7 linked regions of the Coturnix japonica genome follow. The protein of the gene in region 5 interacts with the protein of the main gene of each other region in a pairwise test. Links are inferred from orthologs where the notes say so. Each region holds a gene or a part of one and is shown on either strand. Other genes may lie near its edges.

Evidence for each region.
Region 1: the proteins of WWP2 (region 5) and ARRDC1 interact in binary tests that used the Homo sapiens proteins (3 or more experiments, as listed by UniProt). The link is inferred for Coturnix japonica from reciprocal best matches to the Homo sapiens genes WWP2 and ARRDC1.
Region 2: the proteins of WWP2 (region 5) and WIPF1 interact in binary tests that used the Homo sapiens proteins (3 or more experiments, as listed by UniProt). The two-hybrid records come from large-scale screens. The link is inferred for Coturnix japonica from reciprocal best matches to the Homo sapiens genes WWP2 and WIPF1.
Region 3: the proteins of WWP2 (region 5) and ATN1 interact in a two-hybrid assay, tested with the Homo sapiens proteins (2 studies listed by BioGRID and IntAct). The link is inferred for Coturnix japonica from reciprocal best matches to the Homo sapiens genes WWP2 and ATN1.
Region 4: the proteins of WWP2 (region 5) and ARRDC3 interact in binary tests that used the Homo sapiens proteins (3 or more experiments, as listed by UniProt). The link is inferred for Coturnix japonica from reciprocal best matches to the Homo sapiens genes WWP2 and ARRDC3.
Region 6: the proteins of WWP2 (region 5) and FBXL18 interact in a two-hybrid assay, tested with the Homo sapiens proteins (3 studies listed by BioGRID and IntAct). The link is inferred for Coturnix japonica from reciprocal best matches to the Homo sapiens genes WWP2 and FBXL18.
Region 7: the proteins of WWP2 (region 5) and ANKRD44 interact in binary tests that used the Homo sapiens proteins (3 or more experiments, as listed by UniProt). The two-hybrid records come from large-scale screens. The link is inferred for Coturnix japonica from reciprocal best matches to the Homo sapiens genes WWP2 and ANKRD44.

Annotation. Positions count from the first base shown.
Region 1 is NC_029532.1:1,142,514-1,146,803, reverse strand, and holds the start of ARRDC1 (arrestin domain-containing protein 1), read right to left. Parts: upstream 2,801-4,290; 5' UTR 2,698-2,800; coding exon 2,580-2,697; intron 762-2,579; exon of another isoform or gene 747-761; coding exon of another isoform or gene 716-746; intron 1-715. UniProt on the Homo sapiens protein: Functions as an adapter recruiting ubiquitin-protein ligases to their specific substrates. Through an ubiquitination-dependent mechanism plays for instance a role in the incorporation of SLC11A2 into extracellular vesicles.
Region 2 is NC_029522.1:15,026,708-15,030,207, forward strand, and holds part of WIPF1 (WAS/WASL-interacting protein family member 1), read left to right. Parts: intron 1-732; coding exon 733-945; intron 946-1,725; coding exon 1,726-1,839; intron 1,840-3,126; coding exon 3,127-3,182; 3' UTR 3,183-3,500. UniProt on the Homo sapiens protein: Plays a role in the reorganization of the actin cytoskeleton. Contributes with NCK1 and GRB2 in the recruitment and activation of WASL.
Region 3 is NC_029516.1:69,591,290-69,594,789, reverse strand, and holds part of ATN1 (atrophin-1), read right to left. Parts: coding exon 3,474-3,500; intron 2,630-3,473; coding exon 654-2,629; intron 579-653; coding exon 356-578; intron 277-355; coding exon 1-276. UniProt on the Homo sapiens protein: Transcriptional corepressor. Recruits NR2E1 to repress transcription. Promotes vascular smooth cell (VSMC) migration and orientation. Corepressor of MTG8 transcriptional repression.
Region 4 is NC_029547.1:52,949,491-52,953,532, forward strand, and holds the start of ARRDC3 (arrestin domain-containing protein 3), read left to right. Parts: upstream 1-1,242; 5' UTR 1,243-1,529; coding exon 1,530-1,809; intron 1,810-3,473; exon of another isoform or gene 3,474-3,995; coding exon of another isoform or gene 3,996-4,014; intron 4,015-4,042. UniProt on the Homo sapiens protein: Adapter protein that plays a role in regulating cell-surface expression of adrenergic receptors and probably also other G protein-coupled receptors.
Region 5 is NC_029526.1:17,007,385-17,010,884, forward strand, and holds part of WWP2 (NEDD4-like E3 ubiquitin-protein ligase WWP2), read left to right. Parts: intron 1-481; coding exon 482-563; intron 564-780; coding exon 781-909; intron 910-1,144; coding exon 1,145-1,223; intron 1,224-1,337; coding exon 1,338-1,409; intron 1,410-1,500; coding exon 1,501-1,589; intron 1,590-2,606; coding exon 2,607-2,766; intron 2,767-3,434; coding exon 3,435-3,500. UniProt on the Homo sapiens protein: E3 ubiquitin-protein ligase which accepts ubiquitin from an E2 ubiquitin-conjugating enzyme in the form of a thioester and then directly transfers the ubiquitin to targeted substrates.
Region 6 is NC_029529.1:4,224,774-4,229,065, forward strand, and holds the start of FBXL18 (F-box/LRR-repeat protein 18), read right to left. Parts: upstream 2,801-4,292; 5' UTR 2,735-2,800; coding exon 2,624-2,734; intron 2,541-2,623; exon of another isoform or gene 2,382-2,540; intron 1,602-2,381; coding exon 1,401-1,601; intron 644-1,400; coding exon 1-643. UniProt on the Homo sapiens protein: Substrate-recognition component of the SCF (SKP1-CUL1-F-box protein)-type E3 ubiquitin ligase complex.
Region 7 is NC_029522.1:128,324-131,823, forward strand, and holds part of ANKRD44 (serine/threonine-protein phosphatase 6 regulatory ankyrin repeat subunit B), read left to right. Parts: intron 1-259; coding exon 260-377; intron 378-1,374; coding exon 1,375-1,591; intron 1,592-1,963; coding exon 1,964-2,051; intron 2,052-3,282; coding exon 3,283-3,366; intron 3,367-3,500. UniProt on the Homo sapiens protein: Putative regulatory subunit of protein phosphatase 6 (PP6) that may be involved in the recognition of phosphoprotein substrates.

The sequences.
Region 1 (4,290 bases), on a different chromosome or scaffold from region 5:
TGCCCATCTGATGGACACTGCTACGCAGAACAGCCCAATCCACAGCCCTTCTGCAGGAACATCTTCCTGTGTCAGAGTCCAACAACACAGGGACTCAGAAGTGACCTTCTAGTTTGGTGATACAGCTCAGGATCTGCCTTCAGCCCCCTTCTCCACTGCCAGATTTCCCAGCTTTCCAGCTGAGAAGTCAAACCATGTACCTCATTTCAGGCTCTGCAGAAAGGAGAGTTATGTACCTGGGTACTTCTAGAGCACGAACTGACAGCAGTATATTTTGCCTGCAGATTTGTAGTTCAAAGGACTGATTTGAAAGTCAAGTCATCATCGCATAAACCTGGACAGCCAAATAACAGAGCAGAGAACACGGCACTGAAATCTGCTCCAGAAAGGGCTTTCAGTTTCTTTTCTCTCCGTGACCTGGGAGAGACAGCTGTTATTTACCGTTACACTTCTGCCCACAAGAAGCATCGCTGAGCAATAGGCATCAGGGCTGAAATAACCCACATGGCTCTGGATGCAGTAGAACAGTGAGGAAAGTGCTCCAGCAGCCCTGAGCAGCATCAGGGTTGTTCCAGCCAACAAACAGGGCTGCCCATGCTCTGAGAGCAACTTCTTTCCCTCCCACCTGCCCCAAATTAACTCCACACCCAGCTGTCCCAGTGCCAGCTTCCTGTTAGATTCATTATTCTTTGTACACAGGTATTTGATGGTTTACCCAGCAAGTGAGGCACAGCAATTAGGGACATGGACTCCCATTAGCGATATCCCTCGAGGCCCAGAAGTTCTCAGAGGAAGACCTCCATCCTGGCACGGCCATGGGGTGAGTGTGCCCCACTGACGTGGCCCCAGAGGGTCCACATGGGTCACGAAAGGTGAGTCACCATTTGTGACGTTGCTACATGGCCAGCAAGGCCAATTTGTTACTGAACAGCCATTACTGCTGTCAGAGGGCTGGCAAGGAACCAGCGTAGGTGGGAGCATTTATGATCCTAGAAGGTGTGTCTCCATTAAGCTTCCCTATGACCCAAGACTTCCAGCATGTTTGACGAGGCAGAGCGAGCTTTGTTCGCTTGCACTGACCATCCTTTGATAGGGGCAATTTCCAAGAGCCATAAAACAAGGTACCGTGTGAAGTAATCGTCTACAGGCCTGTTTGTGTTTGCTACGTCAGAGCAGTCCAGGAAATAGAAAGCACCATACCTGGGTGCTGTGAGCATGACCCTGCAAAGGGGAAGCACCGCACGCCTTCCCCAGAGAGCTGCTTGTCAGTCCCGGTCACAGGAGCTGTGGGTGAACACAGCACAGAACACAAGCTGGGGAAGCCACCTCCCCTCAGACCCCAACAGAACCACAGGATCATAGAAAAAGGGTTGAAAGGGACCACAATGATCATCCAGATCCAACCCCCTGCTGTGTGCAGGTCACCAACCAGCAGCCCAGGCTGCCCAGAGCCACATCCAGCCTGGCCTTGAATGCCTGCAGGGATGGGGCATCCACAGCCTCCTTGGGCAACCTGTTCCAGTGTGTCACCACCCTCTGGGTGAAAAACTCCCTCCTGATATCCAACCTAAACCCTCCCCTGTCTCAATTTAAAACCATTCCCCCTTGTCCTGTGACTATCAGCCCCACATGCCCAGAAGGCACAGTGTGCCAGAGGCTGACTGACCCCATCACCATCATGTCCAGCTGCCTGCTGCTGTACCCACAGGAGGATGCTCCAACCACCACTCCTCCCATTCTCCTGAAGGTGAGACCAGCCCAGCAGGGAGGGCGCACAGCAAGGAGCCCAGGCACCATGTCTCCACGTGCACTGCTTATCTGGGCCAGTACAGGCACCAGCCGTGGCAAACTGCCACCCCAGCGGTGAAGCCAACACACAGCGAGTGACCTCAGCCCAAAACGGACACTAGAGAAGCTTCTAACAGGGGGAGGCACACCTCGACTCTTGCCTCAATGCATGTGCCGTCTCTCAGAGCCCAGCTCAGGCTCTGCTCGCTACCAAAGCACAGCTGAGCCCACCCAGCAGGGCTGGAGGTCAGCGTGCCCGGCTGCCAATGCCGGCGGTGCAAGGAGCCGCTGGGAGCAGCCGGCGAGGAGACCCACGCGCTTTGCTCGGGAGGGAGTTAAACACCAGACAAGCCTCCACTTGTCCGAGATGCTTCTTTTCCTCCCGAGGAAGCTCCCAAAATCCGCCGTGAGCACTTGGGAGAGGTGCTAAAGAACAGGGGAACCGCGGCGGGGCAGCACGGCCACCTCCCAGCGACGGGAGGCTGCGTTTTAAGCTCTTTGGTTATCATTACCCCCACAGTAACATGTCTCAGGGGCAGAAACGAACAGGAAAACAAAATAACCAGTTCATATTTCCCCCATTACAACACGTGTAACCGCTGCAGACTTCTCCGCAACAAGGTGGCCAACAGCCCACCCCAGGGGCAGGTCCAGACCCCCCTCTATAATGCAACAGGGTGCGGGATGCTCCGGACCAGCTCGGCCCAAAGGCTGCCAGCCCCGAGCCCCGACCACGCAGCGCCGCCGCCCGGGGAGCCCCGTCCCCATCCCCGGGCAGGCCCCGAGCTCACCTCGGTACTGCAGCGAGCCCGACAGCCGCACGGTGACGGTGCCGGCCAGCGGCTCTCCGGGGCTGTAAATGACGCGGCTCTCTCCCAGGCGGATCTCAAACAGCTGCACCTTCCCCATGGCCGCTCCAGCCCCGCTCCGCTCCGCTGCTACCTGCCCTGCCGCTCCGCTCCGTGCTGCTCCGCCGCCCTGCCCCGTCGGGCCGCCCCGCCTCCGCCCGCCCCGGTCCGTGCCGTAGGGTCGGGGCGGGCCCTGAGGGAAGGGGCGGGCGGAGAGGAACGGAGAGGAGGGGGAATGTGGGCGGGGGATGCGGCGGTGGGACACAGGTTGGATGGAGGGATGCGGTTGTGGGGTCGGGATGCGGTTATGGGGTTGGGATGTGAGGGAATTACACGGTTATGGGAGCACAGTGTGAAGGAAAGACGCGATTATGAGGCCAAGCTGGTAGGGAAAGACACGACTATGGGTCCAGATAGAGCTGCAGGGGGGGAACCTAAGACACAGCTATGGGATTGGGCTGTGGGGAAAGGAGCCACTTATGGGGCCAGGCAGCATTGCAGACCCAGTTACGGGTTCAGGCTATGAGGATAAAACCCAACTATAGGTTCAGGATGTGAAGAAAGGACCCAACTGCGGGGTCAGGCTGTGAGGGATGGAGCCAGGTGCCCAGCCCAGGCCCAGCTCCATCTCGCCTCTAATCTGATCTCCCTGTAATTCTCCCTGCCCAGCTGTCTCTCTTCTCCCCCCCTCCTTATTTATTATATCCCCAGTTAGTTCAAGTGTCCAGTGGGAAGCACACAGGCACACAGCATGGGACCAGGGCTGGGAGACAAGCCCAGGGAGCTGCGGGTCAAGCAGCAGACCAGCACCCCACATTGCCCTCTGTATGTCCCCCTTGGTGCTACTTCTGCTGCATGATCCCGTTTCAAAAACTCTGTTAAAATAAAATATAATAATAACAATAAAATAATAAATCACCTTTTCTTTATTCCACAGCAAACACCAAACACGGTGCTGGGGAAAGGCACCTCCCAGAGAGGCCTCCCGGCTGATGACAAGCAGGTTGTGTACACGGGCGGAATGAATAAGCGTAACAAGGGCTGTTTAGCTGTTTATCCGCAGAGCACACACCCAGCAGGACGGCCGGCCCTGCAGTGACACCAGCCCGAGCTGCAGGAGCCTCCCAGGTCCCCTTATGGGGGGTAAAGCCCCACCGAAGGGGTTTGAGCGCTGCATGGGAATGGTTTGTGTATTCTCAGCACACAGGGCTCCTGCTGAGAAGCTCTTCCAGGCCGTTACTCCTCTGCTGCTTAAAAGCTACTTTTTCTTTCCAGCCTGTGCATCATCACAGGAGACGAACACCCTGATGGGCTCGTGCCAACAATTTATGTAGCTCATCTCCTCCTGCGGCGCTCACCCTCAGATGCTTCCATACACCGCTCTCCTTGCGCTGCCCTTTTAGCTTTTGTTTTGCCACTTTTCTCTCCTGTCCTTCTGTAAGATGAACCCGCATCCTCTGTCATCAGCCCCCGCAGCTCAGCTCCCTCCCAGTCTCTCCAGGTGACATTGCCAGCATAGAAACAACCAACCAACACAAGCAGGTGAGGGGCAGCAGAATCACCCTGTGCTACATCAGGCTTTGCTGAACCCATTGCCTCCTCATGGAATACATCTGAAGACCCAGAGCTCTGCACTGCCACACTCCTGTTGCAC
Region 2 (3,500 bases), on a different chromosome or scaffold from region 5:
GTAAATACTGTTCTGCAATGGTTTGAGGTAGATGATGGGTTTTAGTAAGGTTTAGGGAGAGAAAGCACTCTGGAAGCTTTCCAGTATGTGTCTGTAACTAGATTTCATCAGAACAAGGAAGCATTTAAGAAAATGAACATAATGGTCAATTGCCCAACTACACTAAGCAGAGGTGCTGAGACCTTTGGCCATGTGCAGCCCTCCACACCCTCTGCATGGCCTTTTCCTGTCCAAGCTGTGGATTTCTCTCCGGTCTCAATTTACTGCTGCACTGGGAGCATCACTTTCCTAGCCTGTGTGGGCTCTGCCTTCACGTTGCCCTGCAGAGCTTTTCTGCTTCGCTGTGAAGCTGGGAGTTGGTGAGGTATGGCCTGGCTCCTCAGTTCACAGAGCTCCTGCAGTAACTGCTCATTGAGGCCATTGTGATTTAGAGTGGTTTGATATTGGCTTCATGGGCCAGCACCTCTGCAGAGCTGCTGCAGCTGAGGGGGGCAGGAATACGTGTGCTGAGGTGTGTTTGTGTTTGAATATTCCTGCTCCTCTGACCTCTGCAGGTTGTAGGCTCCCCATCAAGCCCTGGGAGCAGGGAGGTGGAACTGGGGTCTGCTCTTCCCAGGGCCCGAAGTGGTCCACACTATTAGTGGGAGGCCATGGGACATGGGCAACGGTGTAACACCACAGAGCAATTTGGGGCAAACAGCATTTTTGTGCTTGTCTCTATTCTCTCTCCAGGCCCCCTGCCACCACCACCTCCCCTCAGCAGGAATGGAAGCACTTCGAGGGCTTTACCTGCTGCTCCCCAGCTGCCTTCCCGGGCTGGGCTGGAGAACCACAGGGGTGGGCCTCGGCCACCACTTCCCCCGGACCGGCCGGGAACAGGCGCTCCACCACCACCCCCACCACCTTCATCAGCGCTCCGGAATGGCTTCCAGGACTCGGGCGACGGTAAGCTGTGCTCCCAGCTACTTGCCCTCATAGAGGTTTTGTAGCTGCTCTTGGCCTTATCGTGACTAAAAGGGTGGGGCAGAGGATAGAACAGGACTGCAAAACTGTCAGTATAGGCTTTAAAATGTTCCTTTGAAATATAGCCTGAAAAGGAAGAAAGCAAAAAAAAAAGGAAAAAGAAACACTTTTCCATACTTAGCTTTGCTAAAGTGCATGAAGAAGTCCTAAGGGGACTGTACTGGCTGCAATGTGAATTCAATCCATAGCTACACTAAGGCTGTTTGTAAGTCAGAACAAGTTAGATGATTACTCAAAAACTGTAAGCTGAAAGAAAGAGAAGAGGTTGTCAGAATTCAAAGATGTCAAGTTTCGCTCTTCTTGCTGGTGTTATTGAAAAAGTGAGGTTTAAGATCGCTGAGTTTTAAAGATTTATTATGCTTTTCTTTTGGGTTGTTGTCTCTTTGCAAAGGATGGATAAATCTTTTGGTTAATTATGCTAGGCTGAAGCCTAAATGGCTTGCAGGATTCAGAGCCTTCAGTGCCTTTACATGCTGGTTTCTAGTTGTAACCACTGGGAATTAACATATTAAAACTGAATCCCAACAAATAACCTAGTAGGATGCTGGTTCAGTATTCAGCTATCACAGCAGTTTGCAATAGAAGACATGCAAGAAATTTGATATTAGTATCAGTTGATTTTTTCTGAACCTGTATCACACAACCAACAAGTAAAACACATCGTGTTCTGTTTTGTTTTATGTGTTTTTGTCGCTCTTTCAGATGAGTGGGAAAGTAGATTTTCTTTCCATCCTATATCTGATTTGCCACCTCCAGAGCCATATGTACCTGTGAATAGAAGTTACCCCAGTAAACTAGCAAGAAATGAAAACCGAGGTAAGTTTCTTCCGCCTCTGGTTCTGGAATTTAAGCATATCTTTTGTAGAACCAGTGTAGATGGGGAAGAGATTGGCTTCTGAGGTTTCAGAACTTCTCCAAGTGCATTTTTCCCCTCCACCATGTAGAAAATACAGGTTCAAGCCCTTTTGAACTTGTACTACAGAGTGGGATGGGAGGAGGATTGTTTTGTTCCTAAGTTGTGACCTGTATTGTAAGATACTGCTTTGGCCATAACATTCAGCCCCATTCTGCTACAGGCAGCCAGAGCTGCAAAATCCCAGCTTCATCTTTGATTTTTGTTTGTCTGGTTTTGTCCCTGTTACTTCTCTTGGAACTCTCTTCTAGAACTTCTTTCTCATTCCCCATCTAAATCTATGCATGACTCATTTATTTGTGTGCCAAAATTGTCCTTGAGTTTTAGTTTTCTTCCTTGTTGGTGTGTTGAGCCCCTGCTATATTTTTTTTTAAGACAAGTCATACTCTCCTCTCAGCTTTTGGTTTGCTGAGCTCATTATATCAGGAAGTATTACACTCTTCTTCCAGGCTAAATTCTGTTTCTCTGATCATTGATGTTGCTGCTGTATACATTTCAGCCTGATTTCATCTTTTTGGATCAGTGTTACATGCTGTTCCAGTTGAGGTCTCAGGCATTCCATTAGTTAGCGCCATTTGGCCTGGTACACCCAAGGATTAATTCAGTTCTTTCACAATAGGTCAAATCAGTCCTCATAGTTATCCTGTAATCATCTGTACACTCACATGTTTCTCTGTCTGTCTTGTTTCCAAATTATGAGGTTTTGGTGTGGAGCAGAAATTCCTGTTAGTCTCTGACCCTTCTGTTTGTCTCTTACCTTTCTTCTCATTCGTATTACCCCGCAAAGAGAGTCAAAGAAATCAGTTTTGAATGACAATCTTCATTTTGGGAAATACAGGACGAGCTTCAAAACATTACTACTAGAGCTTGCTGCTTTCATTAAAATGTACATGTGTTGCAAGTAGCATTGAGACCATATGTGTTTATATAGTAAGAGTGACTGATCTGCTTTGAAAAGGCAGTAAAGGACTGAAATGCTAATAGTTTCTAGGCATTTGTAGATAATGGTAGTTACAAACTTAATTTTACATTGTTTGAAGTTCTTGCGTTGTTTAGTAAACTAATCAGAAAGTCTAGAAAGATATTTTCTAGATGGCTAGACAAGGTAATGAATAGATCTTCTGGCTTGGATGTAAACACCCACTATAAAAAGAACCGAAGAATAATGGAAAACTTTCTTCTTTTTTCAGGAGGCTCTGGTCGAAAAGAAAGAGGTGTCCCCCCACTTCCACCTATACCAAGGTGAAGTGGGTTCTGGCCCATTTTTGGGCAACCTGTGTTTTACAAGGTTTCCTTCGAGTCAGCTCTCCTGCCCACGTTGTTGGAAAGTTGTCTGTTTTGCTCTACTTCCACTTTTGGCTTGTCAGCTGGAATAAACTTTGGTCTATTACAAAAGTAATAGACAAAGCTTATGAACTGTAGTTGCTCAAAGCTATAAATTTTGTTTGCTTATACTGCAGGCTGTCCTGAAAGGCGTTTTATGGACCATGCCCGACATTTGTGCATCATACTTACCGGGTCCAGCCCTGTCCTCTTGAGAGTTCCACAGAGGTCTGGCTTTGAA
Region 3 (3,500 bases), on a different chromosome or scaffold from region 5:
CTCCCGTGTGGCTGGGTCGCTGCTGTAGATGGCCGGCACATTGTAGCCCAGCAGACCTGGGTCGATGGCACCCAGCGGCACGTAGAAAGGGTGGTTGCGGTTGCTGGGGGACATGACGTGGGGCCGGGCATATTCGCTGAGTGTGCGCAGGGCCGGGGTGTCGGGGCCCAGGTAGGGGGGCACAGTTGCCACAGCGCTGCCCTGCTCAAAGGAAGGGCGGTGGGGGACGGGCCCCAGGGAGGAGCACTCCACCGGCCGGCCCTCCTGGGCCATCTTCTGCAAGAGAGCAAAGGAATGGCATCAGGATACCTGCGGCCCACCACCAATGTCAGTCTCCAGCATCCTCTGGACTTACCACGCTCCTCTCCAGCTCTCGCTCCTTCTCCCGCTCCCGCTCCTTCTCTCGCTCCCGTTCCCGTTCTCGTTCCTTCTCCTCCCGAGCCTTCTGCTCAGCCTCCCGACGCACCTTCTCCACCAGGTCTGCCCTCTTCTTGGCCAGCTTGGAGCCATCAAGGGGCACAAAGTACAAGTCTGTGCGGGAGCAGGAGTTGAAGCCACGGTCCAGGTGCTTGTTGAATCTGAGGGCATCAAATACAGGGTGTCAGAGCAGAAGGAATGGGGACAGGACAGAGTGGGGATTTCCCTGCTCCTACCTGGCCGACTGGCTGGCGTGGCTTGGCACATCCACCACCTTGGGTGGTGGTGAGGGGCTGCGAGCAGGTGGCACAGGGCTCTCTGGGGGCTCATACTCCTCTGATGGCTCCTGCTTGATCTGGGCAGCGCTGAGAGGCAGTGGTGGGGCTGGGGTGGCTAAGCTCCCTGGCAGTGGTGGGGCAGGTGGGGTGGGTGAGGCGGCCTTGTAGGCACTGGCTACAGGGGAGGATGCTACCCGGTAGCCTGGGGGGGTTGCAGCCCGGAAAGGGGCAGCCGAGGAAGCTGGGGGAGAGCTTGGTTTGTAGGGAGCTGGGGGCTGGAAGGTGGGGATGGGGGAGGCCGCACATTTCCCATATGGGGCCACAGCTGAGGGGGGCATTGGGGGCGAGACGGTCTTGTAGGGGGCCGCAGATGGGGAGGCCATGGTGGTGATGACAGTAGAGACGGTGGTGGCTGCAGAGGTGACTGGAGGGCCAGCCCCGTGGGCTGGGGAGGGGGGTGGCGGCGGGGGGAAGGTGTAGGTGGCAGGACTCTGCCCTGGGGGATGAGCACATATGGAAGGGTAGCTTCCCTGGGAAGAGGTGGAGGAGGAGGAGGAAGAGGAAGAGGAGGAGGAACAGGAGGAGGAGGAGGAAGGGGCTGTAGCAGCTGAGGGAGCCTGGCTGTAAGTGGCCTGGCTGTGGGGGGGGTAGAGGCGCAACCCATATGTGGCATGAGATGGGTGATGGCTGTTGGACTCCAGGGCATGGGGATAACCCCCAGGGGGCTGTGGGGGGGGCGCTGCTACAGCTGGGGAGACCCCCCCACCAGTGCTGTGGCCATGGTGGTGCTGCTGGGGTGGTTGCTGGTGATGAGGAGACTGACCAGGGAAGGAGGCTGGGAGATGGGAGCTGGAATTGCCCAGGGGGCGGTTGTAGGGAGGAGGGGCCTGGCTCCATACAGGCTGTGAGGGTAGGGAGGGCTGGGTGTACTTGGGGGGCTGGCTGGACACCGAAAGGCCGCTGGGCGGGGGGAAGGAGTGCCCATAGGAGGCAGTGTAACTGGGCAGGGGCTGGGTGGGGGAGGGCTGTGGGTACTGAGCAGAAGTGCTCGAGGGTGGCAGCTGCGGAGGTGCATAGGGGTAGCGTGAGGGGGCCAGGGGCTGTGCCTTGTCCTGGCCCATCCCGTGGGGTGATGCCAAGTGCCCGCTCAAGGCCTGCCCCGCCATCCCTGGGGAACTGGAGGAGGCTGCCACGTTGTTCAGTGGGCGTAGGGCCGGTGGGGGTGGCAGGTTGGCTGAGACGTGCGGGAAGGAAGGCGCGGAGGCTGGGGGGGCAGGCGGTGGGTTGGCCGGGGAGGTCTTCTGAGGGGGCAGCCCCCCAACCACCGATGCCAGTGAGATGGGAGTGGTGGGTGGTGGATTGTGCTTCGCGCCGAGGGTCTGCTCGCGACTCCCCACTGCTGAAAGGCCCCCTGCCCCACCAGCAATTTTGGAACCAACTTGAACCACGTTGGCCGTAGGATAGAGAGGAGCATGGGTGGAAGTGGAAGAAGAGGAGGAGGAAGAAGAGCAGGGGGCAGAAGTGGTGGCAACGGCAGAAGAAGAGGAGGCAGGTGTCTGTGGGGCTGGAGCCTGGAAAATGCGGGAGGCCTGGCCCTCCAGCTGGGAGTGGTAGCCACCAGCCGTGGGGCCTTGGGGGTGGGTCTCGCCTGGGAGACTGAAGCCAGGCTCAGTTGGACGGGACAAGCTGTCGGAAGTGGGGGCGACTGGAGGGCTCTGGGGGAAAAGCGGAGGGTGGTGGTAAGAAAGGGATGGGCCCTGGGACAGCACAGAGGAGGAGTCGGAGTCATTCTCCACACTGCCAGGGCTGTAGACGCTGGGTGAGGTGCTCCTGTTATCCTGGTCGATGTCCCGTGGGTCGCTGCTCATCTCATCATTGAAGCTGTGGCCATCGAGGCTGTCAACGTCAGAAGGGGATGGAGGACAGGGTAATTCCTGAAGTAGTGAAAGGAAGGAGAAGTTATGTGACCTCCCAGATCACGCGTGACACTTTTCAATCTCACCTTCCTCTGCTATCCCTAGCATTAGGAAAGCACACTGAGGGAAGGAGGCTTCATTTGGCAGTTCTCTTGCTGCCCTTTGGAATAGCAGCTCAGGTGCTCTTCGGTACTTTATCACACACTTGGAAATGAGATGATGATGGGCATCTCATGTTCAGAAACACAGTAACCACTACAGATGAGGCTGAAACAAGGCACCTACAAGGTCCCGGCACCTGCACTGGTAAAGGGCTGCTGGCCAAGATATGAGCCAGTGCTACCACCAGATGGCACAGCAAGGTGGGGAGGGAGGTAGTGCTGCCCACACAGCCCCCAAACCCACAGTTCTTCCTCATGTAGGGCTTTCCTTGACACCCTGCTCAGCAAGAGACCTGCTTCTTAGACCTCCGGGCCCTGCTCTGAGCGCATCCTTCCTGCCTTACTCCTTACCTTTTGGGGTTCACTCTGTGTTTGCCATTGCTCTCTTGACCTCCCCCCCCAGCTCCGTGGTAATTAATGTGGTCAGTGGTTAAGTTAATGTGGGCAACTAACAATCGAGCCTCAGAGCTTACAAGAGCAGTTCAGCTGATAAAAAGATCAGTGCTGAGCTGAGCAGAGTCCACATGGGGAAATTATGTAGGTGTAACTACAGGTGTCACTTGGGACCTGCCTGCAGAAGAGCTGTAGAGCACAGTCTGATGTGGCAGAGATATCAAGCAAAAAGAATCCCAAGCTAGGCACATGTGAGCAGCACAGGTAGGGTCCAGAATGTACCAGTAACCATAATGGTGAGAACTCACCTCAGTTTTAGTCTTTTTAGGAGCACT
Region 4 (4,042 bases), on a different chromosome or scaffold from region 5:
CAGAAATGGTATGGCCAAAGACAGCAGTCTTAAGGAGAGGGGAGGCAAACTGGGACCACAAGCTCTGCAGATTTAACGGCAACTTCACCAACAAGCCTAGAATGGGAAAAGTGAATTATGAGGACTGCCTCCAAAGCTGTGTTTCCTATTTTATTATGTTGGCCCACAACATCAGAGAAGGATATTGGTGGTCTGGCAGCAGCAACTGAACTTTCCCACCAAAATTCTGTTATGCTTTATTGCTGCGCAACAGATGGCAGCAGAGGGACAGTCTGACACAATGGTGTCTGACATGAAAGTGTTAATGAAGCAAAGGTGTGTCACTTTATTCCTGCACACAGAAGTGGCACTCACTGACATTCACTGACACTTGCTGAATGCTGATGGACACCAAACAGTGGATGTGAGCACAGTGAGGTGCTGGGTGGTGCATTTCAGCAGTGGTGACAGCAACAGTGGGTCACCCCTGCTGATGCAGATTGTTAGGAGCGTGGTGTGCAGGCTGTTGGTCATGGCTGCTGAAAATGCACAGCTAATGATGGTGACTGTGTTTTGCACCTGAGAATTCCTTCTATAAATAGTGTTACTGTGCTCTCTGTTGTAGTTGCAACTGAAATAAATGGGAGGCACTACTTTTAGAGTGATGTGCGTACATACGATAAAAAGATACAGGAAATAAAGGAGAATGTGCCTTATCACTGTAAGCAGCTCCCCTCCTTATCAACATGTGTACAAAAGGAATAAATCCACGTGGGTGCCTGTTAACCAAAGTGGGGTCTTTCAGCGTTAATAGACACAAGGGAAGAGCTGCATCTCCCCAAGTCTTTGCGACAAGGAAGGCAGAACCGGGTGGAACCGGCAGGGCTGCCCGGCACCCCGCCCCTCCGCAGGTTCCCGTCGATGCACCCACGTGCCGCACGGTGGTGCACACAGACAGATGGTCCCAGCACAAGGGCAGCGGTAAAAGCTGACTGTTTGAAGTTAGGCACAGAGCTCCCCAGCCAGGTGCTGGGCCGAGGGTGACTTCTTACCGCAGACAGCGGGCAAATACATAATACGCTTTACAACGCAGCTCTCCGGGAGCTCCGAGAAGCGGCCCGCGATGCCTCCGGGAGCTGGGGGCGGGCAGTGGGGCGGGCAGAGGGCGGGACGGCACCGCTCTTGCGGCGCATGCGTGAGCGTGTAGAGTTCGTGTAGGGGGGGTTGTTTGTCACAGCGCTTATAGTGAGGTGGCAGCGCTCCGGCACCGTCATTGTGAGCGGAGCGGAGCGCAGCGCCGGGCAGCCGAGCGCTCTGAGCGCTGCGGAGCGCCGGCATCCGCGGCAGGGCCGGGGCCGCCCCAGCCCGCCGGCTCTCACTTCCCCATGCTGGGGCTGTAGGTCGGCGAGGGTCGGTGTGCGGCGAGGGTCGCTTTTTGCTTAAGGCTTTTTTTTTTTGCTTTTTTTTTTTTTCTTTTTCCGCTTTCTTACAGTCAGTTCTTTTTTTTTTTTTTTTTTGATTATATTTTTTTCTACGCTTTGCTATAAAACATGGTGCTGGGGAAGGTGAAGAGTTTGACAATAAGCTTTGACTGTCTCAATGACAGCAACGTCCCCGTCTACTCCAGCGGGGACACGGTCTCAGGAAGGGTCAATTTAGAAGTGACGGGGGAGATCAGAGTGAAATCGCTCAAAATCCACGCTCGCGGGCACGCCAAGGTGCGCTGGACCGAGTCGAGGAACGCCGGTTCCAACACTGCCTACACGCAGAACTACACGGAGGAGGTGGAGTACTTCAACCACAAGGACGTCCTCATCGGCCACGAGAGAGGTGAGCCGCGCGGCGCGGTGGGGTCTCACGGCTTTTGGGGGGTGTTATTTTCTGCTTATAACCGGTTTTGTGTCACCTGCGAGAGCAGCCGGGGCGCCGCGGGGACGGAGAGCGGTGGGGGATGGAGGGGGCAGCGTGGGGCACCGCAACCCGGCCAGGAGCGGGAGCCCCGTGTCAGCCGGGAGCCGCGTTCCGCCGGGCTCGGCCCTCTGACAGGCGGCAGCTCTGCGGCCGATGATGCGACTGTTTCCAGCACTGGGCCGCCGTTCCCGCACACACGCTCGGATTTCAGCCCGCTGTCCGCTCGTGCCCTTCCTTCTGTACCCCTTTCTATTCCCCCCCCACCGGAGCCCCCTCCCCGGGCCCCGTGTCGCCCTCCCCACGCCCGCATCGCGGCGGTCCGGCGGACTCAGCGCTTGTTTTTGCGAAGTTTCCACCCTTTGTTAGAAGCGGTTCAATCCTGTTTGGGACCGGTCCTGGGCAGAGGGGGGGGGGGTGCTCCCGCTCGGCGCTGCAGATTGGCTGCGCGCGTCAGGTGGTGGCGATGACTTAATTCCTAGCACAGGAAAATAATGTTAAAACTGGTTATGTAATTCAGGGCCGCTTTTTTTTTTTTTTTTTTTGGCTTTTTTTTTCTCCCCTTTTTCTCCTTCAACATGCTGCATACCTACTGCATTGTGAGGTGCACTGAGGGAATATTCCCGTTTTCTTTGGGGATTTTTGGATGAGTTTCCCTGCAGGCTGCGTTGTTGTTAGACGTTTCCTAAACATCTATCGATACTACCGAACTTGGGAGTCAGAGCTCAGCTATATTTGAACATCGCTATCGCATGCATCCAGCTCCCACCGAGCTGTCTTCCTCACAAACAATTCCCCCGTACCAAAGTCCGTGAAGGTGACCGCAGCCTCCGGCCGTGCCCGTGCGGCCATGCGTATAGCTCAGCCCGAAGGACATCGCGGGGTGCTCCGCAATGCCGATCGAGCAGCCCCCACCCGGGCGATGCCCGGCGCGCTGCGGCCCTGCGGCCGAGTTTCAATGACTGACTGTGCCTCACGCCTCGCCCCGCAGCTGGCGGCCGAGGCCACGCCCCCTCGCGCCTCCGATTGGCCGGCCGCGGTTTGTTGGCCTGTTGCTAAGGCGATGCCAGCCGCTGATTGGCCGGCACCGTGAGGGCGCGGGTCCCCCTGCCCGCAGCCGGCTTGCGGCGGGGGGACGAGGGGCCGAGGGTCCGGGCAGCCTCGGGGTTGGGGCAGGGCGGCCGTAGGGGGACTCAGCGCTTTCCCCACCGTTCGGGTTCAGCTTCTGGTCCTCCGCACCCCGACCGCCACCCCACAGCGGTGTCCGCGAGCACCCCGGAGGGTCCAGCGCTGCGTGTCGGCACGTAGCGGGGCGGCCGGCGGGGCGAGCAGGACGCGGGCGGCTCCTCTCCCTCCTCTCTCCCCGCCCCCGCTTTCCCTCCTCCCCCCTGGGCGGCGAGCGGAGCTGCCGAGCGACTGCGGCGAGTGTAATGTATACTGTATGTATATGCAAGGCTGGCTGCGATCTGCTCGCGCCGGTTTAGGCCGGTCCTCTCCTGCTCCAGCCGGGCCGCTGATTGACAGCTCAGCACTTGTTTACCACGGCTCCGCCGCGGCCGCCCGGCTCGGCGGGACTGCTGAGCTGGCAGGACGGGGCCGGGGCGGTGTGCGGGGCGAAAACCTGCGGGATAACAATAAAAGGACGAGAAAGCCGCCCGCAGCCATCGCATCGCCCCTTAGCAGCGCTTAACTGGTTCTCCTTCAGTCGCGGCGAGCTGGAGGTGCATTTGTGTGAATGCATCTCCGCCTGTTTCTCGCTGTTCTGTTGCATTTTTAAGCAGTTCTTCAAGATTCCTTTCACCACCCCAGGTTGCCGTGTGCCCGTTTCTTTGCCACACCATATCTTTGTAGCACAGTGGGAGCCTAAAATGTCCCTTTGTGCCTCCATTAGTGCCTCCAGCCGCTGGCATTAAGCGGTTGTGCCCAAACCATAGCGGTACCTGTCGGTATCCCAGCCCTTATGGGTAGGAGGTGATCTCGGCTGTTTTTCTCCCAACTTCCGATTTTGCTGGAGTCAGCATTTTTAATTTTTATTTATTTTTTAGTTTAATGGTAATGATACCCGAATAAACCACAAACCCGTGGTGGGGTTTAAAGCAGTACAAGAAATGGTGACCGCAACCGAAGGTTGGTGTTCTTGATGGAACCAGCAAAT
Region 5 (3,500 bases):
GATAGGGAGGAGGCAGGGAGTGCGTGCAGAGCGTCCCTCCCAGCATGGAGTGGGACTATGCTGGGGGCACATGTGGTGATGGGGGCACAGCAAGCAGAGCAGTGGGCAGCAGTGCTGCTGGTGTGACCAGTGTGTTCGTTTTATGGCTGCGCTCAGCAGCGAGGGGGCTGTGTGTGTGTGTGTGTGTGTGTGCAGGCAGCGGGGCTGCAAAAAAGCATCCTTGGGGTCATGCCCCCAGCAGGGTGCCCCTGGGGTCCCCAGCACACTGAGCCTTCTCCAGAGGCACTGCAGCTTCTGCACATGGAAAAAACAATGTAATTTTTAAAGTAATTATTTTCATTTTTGATTCTTCCTTTTCCAAATGCACTGTGGCAGAGCAGGTGGGGTGGGGGTTCTGACAAACACTGGGAGGGGAGGGCTGAGCCTGGGACACTGGTGCCTGCTGCGCTCCAGCTATCGCTCTTCCTCTGTTTCCTCCTAGAAAAGAGACAGGACAACGCGCGGGTGTATTACGTGAACCACAACACGCGGACCACGCAGTGGGAAGACCCTCGCACTCAGGGGTAGGAGCCCATGGGAAGAGCGGGGGTGATGCTTGTGGTGGGGCACCAAGCACTGAAAAGTGGTTGTGAGGGTGCTGAGCCACATAGACTGGGGAGTCGGAAGGGAAAACATGGTGCTGGAGGTGCCAAAATCCAAGGCAGTCTCCAGGGAGAGCAACACAAAGCAGGGAGAGACGCCCCTCAGGTGGCAACATGGTGACCCCATCTCTGCCTACAGGATGATCCAGGAGCCACCCCTGCCTCCTGGCTGGGAGATGAAATACACCAACGAGGGCGTGCGCTACTTCGTGGACCACAATACACGCACCACCACCTTCAAGGACCCACGGCCAGGATTTGAGTCTGGGTACGTGCTTAGGGCTGGGCTGGGGTCACTCACAGCTCATCTGCCTGCGTGGTCACAGTGCAGGGTGGGCAAAGTGGGCTTTGTGGCAGAGGCACTGAGCATTGGGTGTGGGTGAGTGTAGGGCCTTGCACTGTGTAGAGAAGAGCTCCCTGCATGTAGTGGGGGGCAGCTCCCACCTGTGGACATGGCAGCACATGCTGGGCCGTGCCCTGAGCCCCTGCTGGACCTTTTGCAGGAGCAAGCAGGGTGGGTCACCAGGTGCTTATGATCGGAGCTTTCGCTGGAAGTACCACCAATTCCGCTTCCTCTGCCACGTGAGTAGTGCAGCTGAGGGCTGCTGAGCCTGCAGGGCTGGGGGTGCTCATGGGTGCGCTGGTGATGTGGGACTGCCATGCCAGCCCATACAGCCTCGTGTCTGTGCCTTGCAGTCAAATGCCTTGCCCAGCCATGTGAAGATCAGTGTTTCCCGGCAGACTCTCTTTGAGGACTCCTTTCAGCAGGTGAGGGGGTGTAGGGCTGGCAGAGCCCTGGGTGGCACAAGGCTGTCCCCCTTTGAGCATCCCACAGTGATGTGCTCCTTGCCCCCTGTAGATCATGAACATGAAGCCCTACGACCTGCGGCGCCGCCTCTACATCATCATGCGTGGTGAGGAGGGCCTGGACTATGGCGGCATTGCCAGGTGAGTGTGGGGCCACGTGTCTGCTGTGGGGCTGGGTGAGCCCCCCATGGCATGAAGCCTTCTGGTAACAGGGCTCAGGGTTCCTGGCCCTCTTCCAGTGCCTGCTCAGGGAGAGGAGGTGAGAACAGTGTGAGTTCTGGGAAGGCATTATTGCACTCCCTGATCCCTTGTACAGGGAGGGCTGGGGGTCCAGCAGCCCTCAGTGCGCTGTGATGGGCTGAGCTGCCTCCTCTCCCTCCAGGACAGGCACTGGTGTTTCTTCTTGAGACGGGCGGTGTGTGCCAGGGCAAATGTGGTGCTGCTGGCTTCCACCATCTACCCAGTGGATGGTGCCATGTGGCACTCTGCTGTGCCTCCAGCTGGAGGGACTGTCTGTTGTCCCCTGGCCATCCTGCCTTGGGTGTAAGGCTTAGTGGTGGGCTTGCACTGCCTCTTCTGCCCCAGAACCCGTGCTGCAGTGTGCTCCCCACCTCCTCCTTCCCAGTGATGCTGCTGCTGGCTGTGGGCAGGGCTCCTGCTGCCTGTGTCTCTCTGTGTCCTGCCAGTGGTTTTACCCTATGGTAGGTTACGTCATGCTGTTCTACCACAGGGTAGAACCACGGACGGGATGCCGGGGCTGCCTCTGCGTCCGAGGACTGCCAGTGGTGGGGGAGCAGAGTGAGGGCTGCGCCTGTTCTGCACTGCTTTGAGTGGGAAACTGGGGGGGGGGGGAGAGGGTTGTGGAGAAGGATAGCTGGTGTTTGTGGGCACTGTACATGTGTGCACAGGCACATGTGCACGTGTTTGACAGGCTGGTTTTTCCTTACTGATGTCTTCAGAGGCACTTTGCGGCTGGGTCCTGGGCTGCACAATACTCTCAGCAGGGCTCAGTGCCTGCCCTGCACCCCAAGGAGCTGGGCACTGTCTGTGCAGCCATGTTTCATGGGCACAGGGCTGTCCCCACTGCTGGGACAAAGCCTCCCATAGCAGACCCAGGTGCTGATGTCTGCTCACCACTTTTCCCTTCCTCTTGCCCAGGGAGTGGTTCTTCCTCCTGTCCCACGAGGTGCTCAACCCCATGTACTGCCTCTTCGAGTATGCCGGCAAGAACAACTACTGCCTGCAGATCAACCCCGCCTCCTCCATCAACCCTGACCACCTCACCTACTTCCGTTTCATCGGACGCTTCATCGCCATGGTAAGAGCCCGGGGCCGGGGAGCCCTGCTTGGCATAGTCACCTTTTCTGAGCACTTTCTTGCTCAGTGTGTGCCCAGAGGAAGAGTGGCCATAGCAGCATGAGGTGACGTGTTGCAGGGCTGGGGCTGGCCATGAGGCTGGGGTCACAGTTTCCTGGGGCTGTGCCTCCAGGCTATTGGCTGCCACCCGGTGCTATCAGCTCTGCAGCCCTGGGGCTGTTTTTAGCCCCAGCAGTGTGAGGTTTTCCAGCTGCCCCTGCCTGGCTCCTCCTGTTGTTCTCACCCTCCCCAGGGCCTGGTGGGCAAAGGGCTGCAGTGGTACCAGATGGGGCAGGGTCTGCCCAAAATGCTGCGCCCTGCCCTGCCCCACGCCTTGCAGGATCCCAATAAAACTCCAGACTATTACTCACCGCTGGGCTGTTCTAGACAAGCGTCTGCATTATTTTTGGCTGCCTTTGCCTTGGGGCTCCTGGAAGCCAGGGATTCAGGGAAGCCACGGCAGAACTCTGTTTAAACAAGTGCTCTTAATAGAGCTGCGACGGGAGATGGAGATGCAGTGGAATTCATGGTGGGGAGGGGAAGGGGTTGCGAGCCCCGTGCTGTGGGTCCAGCCGTGGTCTGCAAGGAGCCCATCCTGGTCCCTCTGATCCCCATCTCCGCACCCTTTAGGCTCTGTACCACGGGAAGTTCATTGACACCGGCTTCACGCTGCCCTTCTACAAGCGGATGCTGAAC
Region 6 (4,292 bases), on a different chromosome or scaffold from region 5:
CATCCAGACGTACGTTTCGAGCCATTGAATCCAGAAGGTTTTTAGTGGCTCCCGTCTCAGCAAAACTACCAGGGGCAGAAATAAGGAAGGCATGAAGGTTCTCAGGTGTCCGATCGCTCAGCACAGCCAAGTACAGCCTCACCACCTCCTGATTAACGTAGCCAGGAGCCAGCCTGGCATAGAAGACACGAAGGTTTTGGTAGTGAGGCACATTGCTCTCGCCCACCATTAGCTGTCCAGACAGCATCAAACCTTCTCGTGAGCGATCAAGGATCTCAAAATAAAGCAGCAGTTTCTCAAGGCTAGTGCAGCACGGCACAACGCCGTATGATGGAGTGTAAAGGGTTTGCTTCAACTCTGACACACGGCTGAGGGTGGCTTTGCACTCACTGCTGAGCTGACTGGCATCAAAGCCCGGGTTCACGTCTATGGCCAGGGACCGCAGGTGCTGCAGCATGGACAGCATCTTGGAGAGACGCAGAGAGGTGATACGGCACCCGGACAAGTTCAGCTTGACCAGGTTCTTGCACCGTGTTACGTGGTCAGTAGTGGAGCTGGGCAGCCAGTAGCACCCAGCCATGTTCAGCTGGTAAATCTCTTTCCCGATATCCCTCATCAGTTGCTTCACTTTGTCTTTGTTCACCTGAACCCAAACAAAACCAGATTCAATGAGACATAAGGCAGTAGCATGCAATGACTCAGTTTCCCATCTGAAGATGGGTACAGCACTGGTTAGCTCTCACCTTTCATAGCTCATCTAAGGGCCTCGGATCACTAACACATGCCTCATTAAAGCACGGCTTTGTCAGCCAAGCTTTGGACTCTAAGATTAGAATTCCTTCAGTTTCTTAGGCTGTGCAGTTCTGCAGTACCAACTGAGGGGCTAAATCTGTCCTCCATCCCGTCAGTTGCTGAACATCATCCACCTTCCAACAGCTAAACTACTTCAGGAATAACTGAAACCAGCTGAACCAGCCCATAGCAGCACAAGCTAAAAGAATCCTTTCATTCCCCTTCATCCTCTTTCTTCTGGAAACAAATAAGAGAGGCTTCTCTTTGACTCCAGCCTGGGGATGCAGCCTTCATATTATGCTTCACCCCTAAGCTTTATTTTTGTTACAAAAAGTGCACATTTACTGAATGAGCTGACTGCGTGTCTGACAAATTCATTTGTACAACACAGTAAATACACCTGGGGAACGTTACAGCTTCATACAACCACAAAAGGCAGCTGCAAATGGAAAGTGGCATTTACGTTCATTTTAGCTTCCATAGACCCAGTGAAGTCACATAAAATACCACCAGTGAAAACTAAGGAAGCACAGAGCTGTTTTAATAAAGCATTCCACAAGTCAGGTGTCTTCTCATAGCTAGCAGAAGCAGCAAGATATTCATCCCACCTTATAGTCCTTCTGAAGTAAAACTGTGTGGGTCAGACTCTTGTCGAGGCAAAGTGTTGCGAGCTTCCTGCAGGTCTTCCTGACATTCAGGACCAGGTCTGTGCAAGGGACGTAACTTAGGATGTGCAGAAGGATCTCATCTGAGAACTCCATCAAATTGATCCCGTTACTTTCCTCCTCGTTCTCCCCACTCACAGGATCCTAAAAGAAATAAGAAGAGGGGGGGGAAAGAAAAGAGGGGGGAAGACAAAGAAAAGCAACCAGCTCAAAGACTGCAGCAAAACTTATGAGAAAAGAGATACTGTGAGCATCAGAGGGATTTGTGGAGTGAGACAGGGGAAAAACAGAACACGAACCACCTGCCTTCGCCCTTAAGAGACAACAGGGAGGTACTGCAAAGCTTCACACAAAGCCATGGCAGCTTCAGCACATGAATAAAGATCTTTATGCTCATTTCCCTTTGCAATTGGAAGCTGTGGCCCTCAGTGCAGCAGGCAGATCCTTTCCACGTTTTTCCTCTACGAGGAGCCCATCCCAATAACCTCACAAATTATGTAACCGTTTACATGCTAAAAAAAAACCCCTCTGCAGCCCAACATCACACACTGCCCACAGCCATCCACAGGGGGCTCACACTGCGGCCATGGGCATCAAGGGCTCCTCGGGATGGGTGCAGCCCCCCAGCAGCAATACACCCTATGATATAACCTCTGTTATACCCTCTGATATAACCTCTGATATACCCTCCGATATACCCTCCGATACAACTTCTGTTATACCCTCTGATATACCCTGTTATACCCTGATACCTCCTCTGATATAACTTCTGTTATACCCTGATATAACCTCTGTTATACCCTGTTATACCCTCTGATATCCCCTCTGTTATACCCTCTGATACACCCTCTGATACACCCTGTTATACCCCCTGCTCCAGTGCTAACCCTGGTGCACACAGTCCCCCATCCCACTCCCCATTACCAGCCGGGGGTTCTGGAGGCAGCTGGGCCTTCATCCATCTTTAACGGAGCCGAATCACGGCCCGTTAACGCCGTGCCACCCCCAAAGGAACGGGGCCCTCCCGCCCCACACAACCGACGGGGGTTCACCCCACCACAGGACCCGCTGGGCTGCACCCTCCGCCATCCCAGCCGCTCGCCCCGCCGGCTCCTCCCCGAGGGGTCGGTGTCCCCCATGCAGACCCGCACGGCCGCACATCTCACCTGTGCACAGCACGACATGGCGGCAGCCCCGGGGTCCCGCCGCTCCCGGCTCACTCCAGCCGCCCCCCGGCCCCGCTCCGTTCCGCCGCTCGGCTCTTCCGGCGCGGCCATGACCCGGCTTCCGCGCCTCGCTACACTTCCGCCGTCGCCATCTTGAGCGTGGCAGGGTGAAGCGGAAGTGATGGAGCGGCCGCTGAGCGACGCCATCATGAGAGCGGCGGCGCCGCCATGTTGGGGGTGGTGGCCTGTATTTGTGCTTCAAAGTCTGTGAACGAGATCTTAACCTCAGCCCTGAGGAGCAGGACGGCTTCATTCATTGCATCGATACTCGCTTTTCTGTCAAGTTTCGGTTAAACATTAGATAATGACACTCAGGGCTGCTTTGTTTGACATTAAGATGAATACCAACCTACCAGACTTGCAGTATGAAAGCAGAGACCAGGGTGGAGGAGACTTGCATTTCAATTGCAAATGTAAATAAAGCCATAAGCAGAGCCCACAAGCAGCATCAAAGCCCAGGGCTGGGTCAGCTGCAGCAGCCAGTGTGAGGGTTAGCCATGGTTCCCTGCCATCATGGGCTGCATGTGGACCAGGCTGCACTTACCAACCCCAAAGTAAAGCTGGAGCTCCTGTGAAATGGCATCAGTTCAGTGCTGGTCTGTCTCCAAGCAGACTTTGATCACAATATGACTCATAGAGCTTTCCTAGCCCAAAGAAGGCAAACTCACACCACACTGTCCAGGTCCAGGAGGGCAAACAAACAAATCTGCTGGTAGCATCAAGATATTGTGTTCTGTACAACAACTCTGAACAGTTCATGGCCGGGCAGCCCTGAGGATTTATTATTCTTTTTTCCTGGGAAACTCTTAAGTCATTTCTCTCCCACAGTTCTTCTTAACAGCTCATCTTTTTGTCAGTGTAACAAAGCTCAGTGGTCAGAACGCTTTGTGTGCTTGGGCACACTGCTATCTCTGCAGCTGTAAGTGGGTTTGGGTGCTTGATACGATTTAATACAGTAAGGCCTGCTAAAGTAGATTACAGATGGGTATAACAGAAGCCGGGGCAGGCTTGAGGTCAGCATTCCCTCTGCAGAGCACAACTTCAAAGAGCAGGGCTCCTCCTCCTCCAGCCAGCGTCTCATCCATGAACTGACACCAAGAAAAGCCCGTTTTCTGAACCCATCCCTTTGTGCCCTCAGAGGGGACTTCCACAAGGAAGCCAGATGTGTTTGAATGTCCTGGGACTCCTTGGGACATTTGCACGCTGCCAGTGCCCTCCAACAAGAGGATGGGATCCCCCCAACAGCCAGGGGCCATTTTTGGTCAGTGCTCCCTGACAAAGCTCGAGGCAGCCACACAAGGAGGCCCTTCAGGGGTAAATCCTGAGAGCCGCAGCCGTCTCCTTTGCCAAGGACATCACTAATTCCTGGCGGTGGCTTGATTCCGTAAGCAGCTCAGCGAGGTGACTTTCCAGGTCACCAGCTAATTGCAGGTGAAGTGCCAGCGACTGTCTCCAGCAGGAGCGAAAGTTGGGAGCTCTGAGGGAAGAAAAGGAATAAAACATGTTTGCTCAGCTCCATTCAGCTGAGCCAGTTCCCCCTGGGCAGTTAAAGGGAGGGGAGTAAAGGGCTGGGTGGTATACAACAGTCTGTGTCTGATCCCTGCCATCC
Region 7 (3,500 bases), on a different chromosome or scaffold from region 5:
CCTGTGTATACAGGTATATGATGCTGATAAAGTGAGACAGAATGTTTGTTCAAGGTGAACCCTGAATCTGAGATGTTATTGTAAAACTTGTGGAGATGATAATCATAGTAGGTTTTTAAAAGGAAAAGAATAGTCTGGAGCAATGTTGCTCTCTAAACTGCTCGCAGATGAGTTTGTCTTTTTCAGTCACGATATCTGGCTGTTGGGTATCTTAAAAGCAACTTCATGCAACTGTTTTCACTTCTTTTTTTCCTTCCAGAACCCCGCTCATGCTTGCAGTGGCATATGGACACATTGATGCTGTTTCCTTATTACTTGAAAAAGAAGCATCTGTAGATGCAGCAGATCTCCTGGGATGCACAGCTTTACATCGAGGGGTGACTTCATTTTTCTAAATTCGAAGCATTTGTTTTCTTGTCACCACAGTTCATTCATAAACACATAAACGTAGGGATGTTTAATGTAGGAGATATAGCTGATGATTGAAAAAATGACCAAAAACAGCCAGTGAGGGAAAAACTGGGATAAATCTGCTCTGCTTTTGACTGTTCACATTAATTAATTAAAGACTGGATCTTAGATAAAATTAGTGGAGACAATTTACTATAGCAGTCATTGCTATAACTGAGAACTTCATGAATTTTGAAAACAGTGTATTTAAAAGGATGCCCAGCAGTTATTATCCTTTTTATTGGGTAGCAGAATATAACAATGTTAGCCCTAAACTTTTATCCAGAAGCAGTGAAGTTCAAGGCACATCTGACCTTTTCTAGACGCCATCTTCCTATCCAGTTTGAAACTGATGCAATCAATCTTATTTATTCAGAACTCTGTAATTATTGCAGTGAGCAATTCAGCTTAGAGTCCAATGCTGGTTTGTAATAAGCGCTATGGTGTAAAATTGCTGTTCTGTTTTGACATCAATACGTGAACATTACAAAGGTGCCAAAGCTAAACTATATGTGTTACAGAGGCCCAGCTGTTAAAGCATCTTTTCATACTTCTGATAATACTTTTTATCTTCCCCTCAGTTCTTGTTGCACATTTGTATTCTTTCTAGAGTAGCCGGATTCGTGTTTTGTAGCCTCACCCTTTGCTCATATATTTCCTTAATCTTAAACTCCTCCTTGCTTTTGAGTCTGGCTTAGAGAAGTCTCTTCCACAAACTACTAATCAGTGCCTTTGGAAGACAGTGCCAAATATGTTTCAGTTTAGCAGTTATCACAGGTACCCATGGGAGAAATGGAGATTTCATCTCCGCCATCTGAATCTCATCCAGGTTTTTTCATGCTTACAGTCATCAATTGTATTCCATGTTTCCCAGGTAGAAGTGTGCATTTATTTCAGCCTCTTTACTTATTTTTTTGTTGTCAGATTATGACTGGGCATGAAGAGTGCGTTCAGATGCTTTTAGAGAAAGAAGTATCTATTTTATGTAGAGATGCTAGAGGTAGAACACCTCTGCACTTCGCAGCAGCTCGGGGTCACGCCACTTGGCTGAGTGAATTACTGCAGATTGCACTTTCAGAAGAAGACTGCAGTTTGAAGGATAATCAAGGTTATACACCACTGCACTGGGCTTGTTACAATGGTAAGTTTATCCCCGTGGATTGTTGCCAGGTTCAAATGCGGCCTCTGTTTTGAGGAAGCATGAAAGCAAAGCAGACAGACTTTGGGAAGATTGAAATGAAGGGTTGGATCATTTCTCCCTACTTGTCCTCTGTGGTTTGTTTTCACTATGTTTACCCTTCAGTTCAGGAGCCAATGAACTTCCAGCAATGCTTCCCAATGACTTTGTGACTTACAGAGAAGTTCTCAGTCACTTATAATTCTGTCACATAAAAGTTCACAATATGTTCAACCTTAATGTGCTTAAAGTGTTAAAGCATAATCCTTCTGTGCCTGGTATGAAATAAGTCAATTCCCTGCTTTGTGCAACACTCGACATTTCTGTCTCTTGTAGGTCATGAAAACTGCATAGAGGTACTATTGGAGCAGAAATTTTTCCGCAAATTCTATGGTAATAGCTTCTCTCCGTTGCACTGTGCTGTGTAAGTAGAAATCTGTAACCAATGCAGATGCTTTGCAATGGGTTACGCCTGGACAAAGTAGTGATACAAGAAAAAAAGCTGTCTTTATGTAATTTGCATGAGCAAACCATTTAAAAATGGTTCATAAAATGGTGCTTGTTCTTCTGCTGAGAAAAAGCAGTTGCATAATAAGGAACATTGGGCATAAGTTGAATACATCTGAGCTATCTGATGAAGTGCTGATGTATCATTAAATAGCTTTATTTCGACTCCATTTCCAATTTCTTTTCCCTTTCTTATCACTTCAGGCTTTTATTTGGCACTGAGTGGAATTTCATATCTCTTCCATTCTTAGGCCATGACCTGGGCTATTAGAATGACAGAGTTATGAACTCCTCCTACTATTAGAAGAATTAATATATTCCAGAAGTAACGATGGGAGTTATTGTGTTAACTTCTTTTCTACAGTCCGCATTTGTTGCAAGATAGAAAAGAGATGTTGGTAGTTTCCAGGTGTCATACATAATGAAACAGAAACCATGTATGAGAGAAATAAAAACCGTTACAAATCACTGCTTTTATTTTACTTCAAACTAGTATGTAATTCATAATAACTAATTCTCCAGCCTACCTCAAAACACATGCAACTGAAAGATGCACTTACATTTAAAAGGACAGAACTGCTGCTAAGATGACACAAGTGTGTCTTTTAGCCATATTAGACGTATATTGTATGTCATTATGTTACCATATATTGTTCATTTTCATTATGAAATAAGACAAATTGCCAGTAACCAGGAGAGTACTGAGTTACATCCAAGGGAAATATTGAAAGTGGGTTTTGGAAGAGCCGTGTGTTTTGAGACCTTAAACGTTAGAGTGAATCTCTCTATATGTAGGTATATATGACCGAGTGCTTTCTCAGTTCAGCTCTGATTGTTGTTTAGACCAAAGGATTTAAAGGTTTTAAGGTTCTAATCCTAGTTTGGTACTGTAGTTTCAGTTCATCTGGTGCATAGGGAATTGAAGGATCAGCTTTGCTTTACATGTGGAAATCCACAGCAATAGATGCAGTTGGGTTAAGTGAAGTCAGGGTGAATGGTCAGAATTGTGACTAAAAGTATTAAGGCAAAAGGTATATTGGGATGAATTATAAATAATCACTAAGAACTATTAATGGGAAATGAAGTAAATGAATACTGGATAGCAGTAAATATGTAGAGCTTTTATCTTTCTAACGTGTCTTTGGCAGAATCAACGATCATGAAAACTGTGCATCAATGCTCATCGGAGCCATCGATGCCAGCATTGTCAATTGCAAAGATGACAAAGGAAGGTAATAGCTTCTTAAACAAACTGCTTTTCATCATCATGAATGCATCTCTTTTTTGTTATTCCTTTCTGAATTTCTGGAAATAACCCTTGTGGTTGAGCTAAAACTTATAATGCCGACTCTTTCAGACAGCAGCT